Ovis aries: one gene and its partners. The protein of the gene in region 1 purifies or fractionates together with the protein of each later gene. This does not show direct contact. Links are inferred from orthologs where the notes say so. Each region holds a gene or a part of one and is shown in the gene's direction. Other genes may lie near its edges.

The links.
Region 2: the proteins of RACK1 (region 1) and TNRC6C purify together in Homo sapiens (affinity purification with mass spectrometry; 3 studies listed by BioGRID and IntAct, counting the BioPlex papers as one, with this or other methods). This does not show direct contact. The link is inferred for Ovis aries from reciprocal best matches to the Homo sapiens genes RACK1 and TNRC6C.
Region 3: the proteins of RACK1 (region 1) and LARP4 purify together in Homo sapiens (affinity purification with mass spectrometry; 3 studies listed by BioGRID and IntAct, counting the BioPlex papers as one, with this or other methods). This does not show direct contact. The link is inferred for Ovis aries from reciprocal best matches to the Homo sapiens genes RACK1 and LARP4.

The regions. Positions count from the first base shown.
Region 1 is NC_056058.1:38,114,163-38,118,272, reverse strand, and holds the start of RACK1 (small ribosomal subunit protein RACK1), read left to right. Parts: upstream 1-1,211; 5' UTR 1,212-1,277; coding exon 1,278-1,386; intron 1,387-1,626; exon of another isoform or gene 1,627-1,694; intron 1,695-2,552; coding exon 2,553-2,724; intron 2,725-3,017; exon of another isoform or gene 3,018-3,096; intron 3,097-3,257; coding exon 3,258-3,405; intron 3,406-3,664; coding exon 3,665-3,760; intron 3,761-4,025; coding exon 4,026-4,110. UniProt on the Homo sapiens protein: Scaffolding protein involved in the recruitment, assembly and/or regulation of a variety of signaling molecules. Interacts with a wide variety of proteins and plays a role in many cellular processes.
Region 2 is NC_056064.1:53,493,869-53,498,184, reverse strand, and holds the start of TNRC6C (trinucleotide repeat-containing gene 6C protein), read left to right. Parts: upstream 1-1,399; 5' UTR 1,400-1,534; intron 1,535-1,965; exon of another isoform or gene 1,966-4,316. UniProt on the Homo sapiens protein: Plays a role in RNA-mediated gene silencing by micro-RNAs (miRNAs). Required for miRNA-dependent translational repression of complementary mRNAs by argonaute family proteins.
Region 3 is NC_056056.1:135,862,596-135,866,236, reverse strand, and holds part of LARP4 (la-related protein 4), read left to right. Parts: intron 1-14; coding exon 15-227; intron 228-405; coding exon 406-539; intron 540-3,641. UniProt on the Homo sapiens protein: RNA binding protein that binds to the poly-A tract of mRNA molecules. Associates with the 40S ribosomal subunit and with polysomes. Plays a role in the regulation of mRNA translation.

The DNA.
Region 1 (4,110 bases):
CCCACCCCCATTGCATTGGTTTGGTCCCCAGGGCCTTCAACGCTCCAGCTCTGAACTTTGGCACTGATTCTTTCCTCGGATTGGAACATCCACCCATAAATCCCGAAAGATCTCTCCTATATCTTTCTTTGCTAAAAATCTCCCCCTTGAGCTCTTTTCCCCCATCTCATTGGATGTAAACTCAAAAAACAAAGAAACAGGTCCCTTTTAACCTGTTCACAGCTATGTTCCCAAGACCTAAAATTGCGTCTGGTAACCAAGAGGTGCTCACTAAGTTCTGTGCATTTGCTTTGCCAGGGGTCTCTCTGGGTGTTTTACCTATCTAATATACTCTCCACACCGTGTGAGGTAGGTACTATTATTCCCAATCTCATTTCATGAGAAAATAATACACGTGACAAACAGAAAAGAAATACTTGGGCACGTCTAGACACCCAGACCCAAGGACCTTTTTATGAGGTGGTTTTGCCCGAGCCAACCTTCCTCTTGAAGCCTTTCAGTTTCTGCGAGAGCTCTCCACGCTCCTGCTTAGGCGGGAGCGGGGTTTATTGTCCAGCAGCCCACAGACTAACTTATCCTTCATTCCCGGTTTTCCTCTCTGTAACCCATTCCTGCCTTAGTCCTGGGTGGACTGTCTTTCTTCACCCAACACCATTAGTGAATAAACCTCTTGAGGGAAGAGTCGCCGCCCGCGCATGGAATTTGTTAGGGTTTAACAGTTCACCTGAACGCAGCTTACTTTGAAATTTTAATATAGTATTATTCACATCGCCCACCGTTACTCACAATTGTGCCCATGAAATTAAGCTCCCTCTGCGATGCCCTCCGAGCCACCAAGCGGAAAGGGAGGGGTTCAGACTGTGCCACGTAAGGCCAGTGAAGCCACTAGGCTCCCCTTACTAAGCTCTGGGGCGTGTACTTCCTCTCTGACGCTTTTGAGACATCATTCCCCTACCATAAGGAGCCTTTTTAAATACTCAGTCATGTTGGTTTAATAAGGGAATTTGTACGGTGCTACCAAATTACGTTGTACGACGGTCTGGACCAGAAGTCTTCTTTTATCTCTCCCTTTGAACTACATGGCGCTGCCACCTTGAGCAGAAGTGAATTATGGGAGGGCGCCATTTCGTTCGAGAGGGCGGGTATTTCCGGATCCGGCGTGGGCGGTTCTCTCTTTTCCTCTGCAGGGCCGCGGTGGAAGCGGTTGTGCGGGTCGCCTCTCTGAGTTATCCAGTTCCATCCTTGTCGCTCCGGCGACACCCGCACTCTCCGTCGCCATGACTGAACAGATGACCCTTCGTGGCACCCTCAAGGGCCACAACGGCTGGGTGACCCAGATCGCTACCACTCCCCAGTTCCCGGACATGATATTGTCCGCCTCTCGAGGTACGGGCTGAGGTGCTGGATTAAGGGGCAGGGGTCGTTGCGCGCGTCACATGGTTGGGCCGGTGGGCTGTGAGTTGACCTGTGCCTAGGCCTCATCGCGGATGAACCGGTGATGCGTCCCCGACTTGGCGAGCCCCGAAACAGCTGGCTGCCGGGAGGGTTGCAAGGCTGGGGCCTTTCTAATCGCTACCTCTCAAACCCGTGTATGTATCTGTGGGCCCAGGAGCCTTCGGGTCGGGCGGCGCCGTGATGATCCCAACATGCCATCTGAGTGCCTATGCTGAAACCCAGAGGCTGTTTCTGAGCTGCTGCCCGGACCCTCTGCTCATTAAAAAGTGGACTCCAAGGCGGACCTCGTGTCTAGTCTCTCGGCTATTTCGGGGCAGCCCTTTCTTCCCCCTTTTTTTTTCCTTCTCATTCTCTCTGTACCTGACTGCATTTGGAGACTTCTTGGCGATTGCTTTTGCGTTCACGCTATTTAAAAATAGTTCATCTGAGGCTACAATCATGTATGGCACTTACTAGGAAAGTTTATTCAGTGGAACACATTGCAGTGAAAGCATCCAGTCCTTAGCGCCTAAAGTGGATTTTCTATTGCTAGTATTTCTTGCATCCTTTAGCAGTAGTTTCAGGAGGCCCACAGCTACTCTTCCATATCCAGCCTGCTGTGTGCATGCATTCTGGAAGTGAAGTCACTCAGTCGTCTCCGACTTTTTGCAGCCCCATGGACTGTAGCCTACCAGGCTCCTCAGTTCTTGGGATTTTCCCAAGCAAGGGTACTGTAGTGGGTTGCCATTTCCTTCTCCAGGAGATCTTCCCTACCCAGGGATTCAACCCAGGTCTCCTGCATTGCAGGCAAATGCTTTACCATCTGAGCTACTAGGGAAGCCCAATAAATAGATGTGGAATCGTTTTAGATTTTCGAAAGGGGCATCCATAACCTGGTAAAGTTTCACACACCTGAGTTAAATTCTCAGGGTGCAACTTAGCTCTGCTTGACTCTTGACTAAAGTTACTTGGACTTGGCTAATAACTACTCTCAGCCTTTAGGTAGTTTCCCTACCCCTAAATGCCCTTGGTTTATGATCCAGAAGGTCAGATGGTGAGCCGTGGGGTTTTTTCACTGGGTCTTTTTTTTTGTTTGTTTTGTTTTAACCTGCCCTTAGATAAGACCATCATTATGTGGAAGCTGACCAGAGATGAGACCAACTATGGTATCCCACAGCGTGCTCTTCGGGGTCACTCCCACTTTGTTAGTGATGTGGTCATTTCCTCAGATGGCCAGTTTGCCCTCTCAGGCTCCTGGGATGGAACCCTTCGCCTTTGGGATCTCACAACGCAAGTAGCTGCTCTGGGGCACTGGGGGAAAGCTGGGTAGAAAGCAGGTAGATACCATCAGGTTTCCCAGGGTAGTGATTGGGTACTTGAGTGGGAACTGTAAGGCACAGTACCTGGAGAAGATATTTGTGGTGGTTCGGCCTCCCTCCCCGTTGCTTTTAATTAGATACACAGAATTGCTGAAGAGTGGTCTGTTTTAGCAGTTTTATCAGATACTGCACTTGGGACTAGACAACATGTTTGAACATACTGTATATTGGGAGCTCAGTCTTGGGTGGTCAGGCATAATGGAGGATCCTGGTGATGACAGATGACATTGTCAGCCAATCCCCACATGGGAGTGAGGACATGTCCTGCAATTCTGAAGGGATTCTCTGGCATATTCTCGGCCAAGGGCCTGCCGTTTATCAAAGCCATGTCCAGGGTGGTGTGGGTAACGCAGCTCCATTGGGTGAGGAATTGGGCCAGGGAAACAGCCTGACTGGAAGAATGTTTGCAGTCTTTCTAGAGAGTAACCAAGTCCTCCTTCTCAGGGGCACCACCACTCGCCGATTTGTAGGCCATACCAAAGATGTGCTGAGTGTGGCCTTCTCTTCTGACAACCGGCAAATTGTCTCTGGCTCCCGAGACAAAACCATCAAACTATGGAATACTCTGGGTGTATGCAAATATACTGTCCAGGTAAAGTAAAGGCACATGCAGGGAGCATATGTTGAACATTTCCCCCATCCTTCTTAACTGGTGCTTTTATATGGTGATTTTAAGCCTCGTCTGGAACCTAAAGGGATTCTATCTTATCTTAAAGGTTTGGGTTCTGGAAGTGTGAATACAGGTTGTCAACATACTGAATATATATCCCACATAACTGAGCGGGGAGGGTGGGGTCTCGAGTTTCATAAGACGAGACAGTTTCTCCTTATTTCCTTTCCATCCTCTGCAGGATGAAAGCCATTCAGAGTGGGTGTCTTGTGTCCGCTTCTCGCCCAACAGCAGCAATCCCATTATTGTTTCCTGTGGCTGGGACAAGCTGGTCAAGGTGAGCTTGGAGCCAGGGCGTGAGGCCTTTACCAACCAGAATGTGTTCCCACTACCTCCCAGTTGGTCATAATCAACTTTGAATCAGCTTTGTCCCTTAACTGACCGTAAGTGGCCAAGATTAATAATTCTTGGACTTTTTTGTCACTGATAGAATGGAAATTGGCTCTCCTATCCAGGGATGCCTTTTAAGCATGGTGCCATGCCTTTTTTTGACCTTGATAGATCCAGAGCCCAGGTTCTTCACCTTTGACCCACAATTTTAGGTATGGAACTTGGCAAATTGTAAGCTGAAGACCAATCACATCGGCCACACAGGCTACCTGAACACTGTGACCGTCTCTCCAGATG
Region 2 (4,316 bases), on another chromosome or scaffold:
AAAAGGTGACTTTTAAATCGCACATCACTCCTGATCTTACCCACGATTAATGACTAGTGTGTATGGGAAGAGCGGCGGAATGGAGGACCGCTATCGGGTGCAGAGCGCCGGGAAGGAACCGTGGGGTACGGGAGCCCGAGCGTCCGGGGTTCGGCCCAACAGCAGTTTGCCCGGTGGGGTCAGAATACTCGCGCTCCCGGGAAGGGGATGTCTCCCGGGGGCGGTTACACAGTGAGGCTTGTTTGGCTCGCAGCAGGGCGCTCCCGGGGGAGCGGTTGCGCAGTGGAGGACGCCTGGGAGGCGCGCAGTGAGCAGGATGCTCCCGGGCCCAGGCCGGCGCGTGTACGTGTGTGTGCACGGTGGGGAGGTGCAGGGCGTGTGCACGGCGCGGGCGGGACGCGCGCCAGTACGGCCGCCGAGCTCTGCTGCAATACAAGGCCAGCGCCGCCGAGTGAAAATACCGCGCAAAACCCTGGCTAGGGTGCCGCGGGGGGCCGGCTGGGGGAACCAAGCGGACGCGCACGGCCGGGCCCTCACCTCGCGGCTGAGCTCGCTAATGCGAAGTCGCAGCACCCTCAGACGAGGAAGCAAGCCGCGTGAGTTTCCACGCACCCCAGGGAGACCGCGAGCCCCAGGGACTCGCACGCGCCCGCGCCCGACAACGCGGAGCGCGTACCCGATCGCACCCTGGCGCGCTCCCCGCGCGGTCTGTGGAAAGACAGCTCGGGCGGGTATTAAGGGGAGGGGAGAAGGGGGTGTGGCTTGGCTGGAACTAGCCAATGGGCCGTGGAGGGGCGCGCGGGGGCGGAGCTCGTATTCAGAGCGCCGATTGGCCAGTTGGCCCTCCGGTATGCAGATACGGTGGAGTCACGTGCCAGGGGCCGGGACGACTTCCTGTTGGAGGCCAAGGCGGGGCGGGGAAGGGGGCGCGAGCGCCCCGTCTGGCTGAAGCGGGGGGAGGGGGGTTCTTGTCAGTTAGAGCAACAAGATGGCCGCGGTGGCAGCTCCGCACCTCAGCGCGACGGCCCCTGGAGCCGCAGCCGCCGCCGCCGGCCCCGCCGCCCCGCAGCCCTGAGCGTCGCCCCGGCCGCCCCCACCGCCCCTGACAGGGCCGTCCCCGCGCCCGCCGCGCTCCCGCCGCAGCCGCCGCCGCGGGCCCGCCCGAGCCGGAGGCGGAGAGAGCGGAGCCGGCCGAGCGCAGAGCGCCGAGGTCAGCCGCCGCCGCCTCGGATCGCGGGCCGCGCCGGAGCCGCCGTCCCGCCTGCGGGCGCGAGGAGGAGGGCGCGTCGCGGCGTCGCCGGGGCCGGACCTGGACCCGCCGGGACGCGCCGCCGCCCACCCGCCCGCGCCGCCGCCGCCGCCGCCGCCCGCGCCGGGAGTTGAGCCCGCGGCGCCGGCGCTGAGCGGGCCCCCACCGCCCGAGCGCCCCGCAGGCCTCAGGGCGGCCGCCGGAGTGGTCTTTGCCGCCGTCGCCAGGCCCGCGTCGCGGGAGCCCCTCCGAGGAGCCGCCGCCGCCGCCGGGGACGGAGCCCAGGTGAGCGCGGGCCGGGCCTCCGAGTCGCCGCAGCCGGCGGAGCTGTTGGCGTCGCCTTTGTTCGGCTGGGCCCGGAGCGCGAGGGGTCGCCGCGGGTCCCGGCGGGAAGGATGCGCAGCGCGGGGCGGCGGGAGGAACTGCTGGCTGCGCGGGGCCCGGGTGCGGGCGCGCGCGGGGCGAGAGGCTCGCGGTGCCCGGTGCGATCCGCACGGCAATTGCGTGAGTGGTGTGCGTAAAACGATGCTTTGGTGGAATTGGTTCTCCGGGAGCAGTCACCCGCGCGGGTTTTGCATTTCTGATGGCATGCACGAACCCGGGCGTTTTCGGTGTGGGGCCTCTCCCGCCGTTGTTTGGAGGGGGGGGGGGTGGTCAGAGCAAGCGCGGGCGTGCTTCTGCTAGCATGGAGGGGCCCCTCGGCCTCCCGCGGATCTGGAATCAGGTGGGCTGCTCGCGGCGCTGCAGGCTGCCGGGCGATGCGCACGAGGGACGGGAGCCGAACCGCAGCTGCCCAGCTCTGGGAGCGCGGAACCGAAGCGCCTCGGGGGCCACCTCCGCTCGTGCGTCGCCTCGTCTGCACCGTTTTCTCGTGGATGAGATTCGTTAATGGATTCGTGTCTGTTAAATGTGCAGATGTGGATCCAGGGGTTCCCTGCGCGTTAACTCGGTGGAGAATCTTTCGCTTGCAGGTTACACGCAGTTTTGGGAATCTCACGGAAGATGCAGGATTGCTGCCTCCATATCGCGGGGCGGGGGCGGAGGAGCCGCAGATCCCGGCCGCAGCTCTAGCGGTGTTGGGCTCTCGACTGTCTCAGGGATTCAGCGAAATGAGTGCAACTGTCTCGAACCTCTACCTCTGTCAGATCAAACCTCCATTTGAGTGGTCTGCTCGGTTGTGTTTAGGCGTGAACTGCAGATTCTGAACTCAAAATGGTGCTCTGTAGATGTCCAACTTAAGCGTATTTAAGGAGTTAGTTGCAAGTTGCAGGCGTCTGGCTGGTTTAATCCATTGTGTTGCTGAGGCTCATGTTTTCTCCTGAATCCGGTGTTCACCGCGGTGTCCTGCGGTGTAGGTGGTCAGTTTGATGATGGCTGTGTAGAGACTGCTATGTCTCTGAGTGTAATTTGACCCCGCAGGAGGATTATTTTATGCAAGTTATTTCCTACATTTAGAATTGTGTAACTATGGGGATGAGTTGAGACACTGAAAATGTGGCTTGGGTGATCTTAGAAAACAGCGGTGGCCAGTTTGAAATGTGTAGGGGTTGCAACCATTCTGTGCATGGACTCCATACTTCCTTCAATAGTATGTGAAAGAATAAAGGATAAAACTTAGCTCCAGACCAGATGAACTTGGTTGGCAGAGGGCAACTTGAAGAAATTTATTCCAGAATCACGGAAGTGGTGAAGGTCTTTGAACACCTTTCAGTGTGGCACACCTAAGGATGCTTTGTTGGGAGAAGTGATGCAAAATGAGGTTTTAAGAACAACTAGCCCAGTTATATTATCCGAATTAATTTTATTGTTGGTGGTAAACAGATGATAATTATCTGATTAGTTATTACTTCGTTCACCGATACTGAGTTTTCTCCTACAGAAAGTTTTTAATATTTGTGTTTTCATAGGAATAGAGGTTTTAGAATCTTTTTGTCTTTCTCACATTGGATCAATAGAAATTGATAGTCCAGAAAGTGGTGATAGTAAAAGTATTGTTTCAGTTAAATTATACTTATGGTGATGTAGAATAATTTCTTCAAGCTAGCGCTAGTACTGTGTGAAGAAGTAGAAAGGCTACGAGTCCCAGATATATGTGTGTGTGTATGTATGTATGTGTGTATTCATGTATGTATATGTTCAGACCTGATGTTATTATGTGGATCTACTTTGAAAAGCCCTGTTCTTATCTTTCATACTTATTGTTCAAATCAAAGACCTTATGGTCTTGTACATCTGATTTACTATTAAGATATGGAATTAAATAAAAGTTGATACTGAGGCAATAATAAGACTTAATCCTAACTATTTTGTCCTGGTTCTAGCATTTAAATATTTTAGTAGTAACTTGGGTTACAGGTAAGTGTTGAGTTTAGGCTTTCCTCCTTACAGTGTTTATTGTTGTTGCTGTTTTTCAAGTGGCATATGTTGTAACACTTTGACAAAGATTATTTTGTAACAGGTTTATGTTTATCCTTAGTTGGCTTAGGAGTTTTGGAACAAATGGTTGCCTGAGAGTGCTGATTATGAGGGAAAGTAGAGCAAACTGTTTCATTTGACTCCCAGTGATTACAATATAACTGAACCATGGGTAGGGGGGATATAGGAAACTTTAAATTACAGTATTTCTCACCTCCTCCACCTTTTTGTTAAACAGCCGGCTTTACTGAGATAAATGTGTGCTTTTCCAAATGCTGTCATCTGGCTCACTTCCAAAACCATGCTGGAGGAGGAGGAGGTCAGGGCTGGAAGAGGGGCAGCCTTTTTCCTTAGTGAAGAGAGCTTTCAGTTGGAAAGAAATGTAAGATAAAATTCCTACAGTACTAGCTGAGAATGGGTGTTTGCATTACTTCCCAAACTCCAAATGGGGGTGATAAGGTCCTGAATGTAAACTTACTATTGGTTGAGTCAAGAATGTGATGCTAATTTTAAATCTAAGAGAGAGATTACTAGTGAAAATCTATTTCTCTGTTATTTGATTTGAGCACATAGAATGTCTGTGACATATAACTTCTTTAACAACCTAACATTTAGAGAATTAGAGCCATTTTAAAGAATATTTTATGGTCTG
Region 3 (3,641 bases), on another chromosome or scaffold:
CTTCTTGCTTTTAGGCAAGGATAAAAGCCATCAATACATTTTTTGCTAAGAATGGTTATCGATTAATGGATTCTAGTATGTATAGTCAGCCCATTCAAACTCAAGCACAGTATGCCTCACCGGTCTTTATGCAGCCTGTATATAATCCTCACCAACAGTACTCTGTCTATAGTATTGTGCCTCAGTCTTGGTCTCCAAATCCCGCACCTTACTTTGAAACACCACTGGTAAGTGAGATCCTTAGAGAATATATGGTTTTTCACTGAAGCTGAAATTTGAAGAAATCAGAGTTAGAGTTCTTGTTTTATTTTGTTTTGTATTGATGGTGGTTACTTTATAGGCTTTAAATGGTGATAAGTATATTTAATACCCCAAATCAATTTAAACATTAAAATTTTCTTTTAGGCTCCCTTTCCCAATGGTAGTTTTGTGAATGGCTTTAATTCACCAGGATCTTATAAAACAAATGCTGCCGCCGCCGCTGCCGCTGCTGCTGCCGCTGCCGCTGTAAATATGGGTCGACCATTCCAAAAAAATCGGTAAGGTAAAATATGATAGCTGGAATTTATTGTACACAATTTCTGGTAGTTCTTACAGTCAGTATGTTAATAGCAATGCTTATTTTCTAACATAATAAAAAGGTCCCACACCCCCCCCCCCCAAAAAAAGTGTATGTTAACAATTAATCAACACACTTTTACCTCAGAGTTGATAATGCATATGAAAAGAATTTGGGACTGAGATTATACACCAGTATATATTGACTTTTTTTTTTTTCTTTTAATAAAAACGAGAACAGAAAAAATTTTGTGGTAACAATATAAAATCTGGTTTCTAGGTACCATTTAATGTGTTAAATAATGTTTTGTAGAATGAGTTTTTTGATGGTAGAAATGTTAACGGGTTTGAGTAATAAAACTTGGGAGAGTGAGTTATTTATCGTTTTTAAGGATTGACTTGATTTCCACAAACTATGCTGTGCTGAGTCACTCAGTCATGTCCAACTCCTTGCAACCCCAAGGACTGTAGCCCGTCAGGCTCCTCTGTCCATGGGGATTCTCCAGGCAAGAATACTGGAGTGGGTTGCCATGCCCTCCTCCAGGGGATCGTCCCAACCCAGGGATCGAACCCAGCTCTTCTACATTGTGGGTGGATTCTTTACTGTCTGAGCCACCATGGAAGCCCGTTCATTACTGAGTCATGTCTAAAGTTCTGTTTTAAGGCCTTGGTTTGTTATATCACTATTAATTTTCATAACCCTGTAGATACAGTATTGTGTCTATTTAAAAGAAGAAATTTGAGAAATAAAAATGTTATATATCATGTCCAAAAGCATGTAGCCAGTAGCTTGCAGAGCCAAGATTTGAGTCCAGGCAGTTTGATTCCAAAGCCTACACCTAAACCATAGTATTCTGAATAAATTGTTAAGAACTCCAGAATCTCAGTTGAGATTATCAACTGGTAATCTCAGTAATTTGGTATATAATATGAGTTTTGCTGGAGTGTAAGTAACCAAAGGAGAAGGGGCTCAGATTTATTTAGTTGTTTAGATTTATTTAGTAGTTCACATGTATTATTTCTCTGCCTTGTGAGCCTCCTATGTTGTTTTTTGTGTTCAGTTATTTCTGTTCAGTAATTTTTTTTTTCTTGCCAGAATGAGAATTCTCTTACTTGGTTCTTTTTGGCAAGGAGACCACATGTGGGGTATGTTTTTCCAAAATAGCTTTTAGGAACTTAATTCTTTTTTATAAGGTTTTTCTGAAACATGCTTCACTGAAGAAACAAGCCTTCCAGTATTGGAAAAAAAAAAAAAAACTCAGTAGATTCTAGAAGCATTCATATATACCACTGTCTAATAGATTTTGTACTCAATTTTAACTGACACGTTTGGTTTAAACATTGGAAGATCTTTGTTGTTGTTCACACTAGGAAGCTTGTAGAATCTTAGTTCCCCAATCAGGTATTGAACTTGGGCCCATAGCACTGATAGTGCCAAGTCCTAACCACTGAGACCACCAGAGAATTCCCTGAAGGTCACTTTTAAATGTTTGGAAATTTTTACTGTATATACACATTCATAAAGACTTCCCTGGTGGCTCAGACGGTAAAGTGTCTCTACAATGCAGGAGACCTGGGTTCGATCCCTGGGTGAATTGTTCTATGAAGTTTCAAATGAGAACTCTTCATATTGTAAGAATGAAGGATTCATTATAAACAAAAGATTATTTGTGCTCTTATAAATGACTGTTAGTTTGATACAGTAATAAGAACAAAATTCAGGTAATTGCTAGGACATATATGTAGAAGTTCAATGAGCCTTAAAACACACACTGTCCTCTAACCTCCATCCTGTTAATAAAAAATTAATTACCATATACACATAGAGATAGTGATGTTTAAGTCTGGAAAGACCTTTGTTATAGTGTCGTTTTATTCATTTTACAGATGAAGAAACTGAAAGTTGAGGGGGATTGTTATCTTACTAGGGTTACATGGCTTTTTATTAATTAGCAAACCTGAGATTAGTATATTTCTTTTTCTTCTACTATAGCTAGTAAAGTTTTTTTTTTTCTTGAAAATAATTCCATTAATACAAATGACAGTTTATACTTCCCTTATGAGGAGATAGATTTCTTATGATTAGAAAGTTACTTTGTAGAAATATGTATCTGTTGATTTCACTTTTCTTTGAAGGGGTGAATTTTGCTTTAAGCAGTTAAATGAAATAGACATCTTGGTTATATGATAGACTAAAAACAGTTTTCAGTAACAACAAAAAGTGTTTGCAGATGTTTACCTTAAAAATACGTTATGTGGGTTTATGGTATTCCTTTATTGTCACTTGATGTTTTTATCTGCTTTGCTTTCTTGGCAGAAGAGGTAAATTTGCAATAAGAAACCCAAGAATGACAGTCAAGTCATTCTTGCTTACAAGGAGATGTATGTGTGGTTTTGGAGATACAGATTTAGTATGATTTTCCTTGTTACTCAAGTCTATTTGTGTATAGTTTTATCCATATATTTGACCAACGTAGATAGTTACTAATTTTTAGTCACAGAAATAATACACAGATACTTCCTTATAAAAATGTAGATGTTGGAGATGAACTAGAGCCTGTTGACTACAAACCCAAATCTTGATTTCCATCTTACTTCTAAGAAGTGACTACTGCCAAGCCTTTATTTTTATATAAGTCATTGGTCAAGCAGCAGTTTATAATACTAACCTTGTAACAGCCCAGTGATGATCATAGGACTAACTTTCAGAAATCTGGGCAATTTTCTTCCTTTAATACTTTATCTTTCTGTCACATTCCTTCTCGTCTTTTATCACATTTCTTTTATCATCCTTTCTTCCTTTGCCTGGACTTCGATTGTAAGTCCCTCTCTGTGAAGGGAAAGATTATGAGATCTGGGGGCTTTTTAAACCTAGTAACTTGTCTTATTGGGTGTCTTGATACAGTGAGAAGATTTTGGTGATAGTTTCTGAACAGATACATAAACAGCATATGTACCTCCTGAGGTCATTTTCAGATCTGTTGGATAATATAAATGTTTTGAAAATTAGTTTGTGTTAGTTGACACTGAATTTCATTGCTATTCAGAATCTATTTTGTATCATATAAGTAATTTTCTGGAAA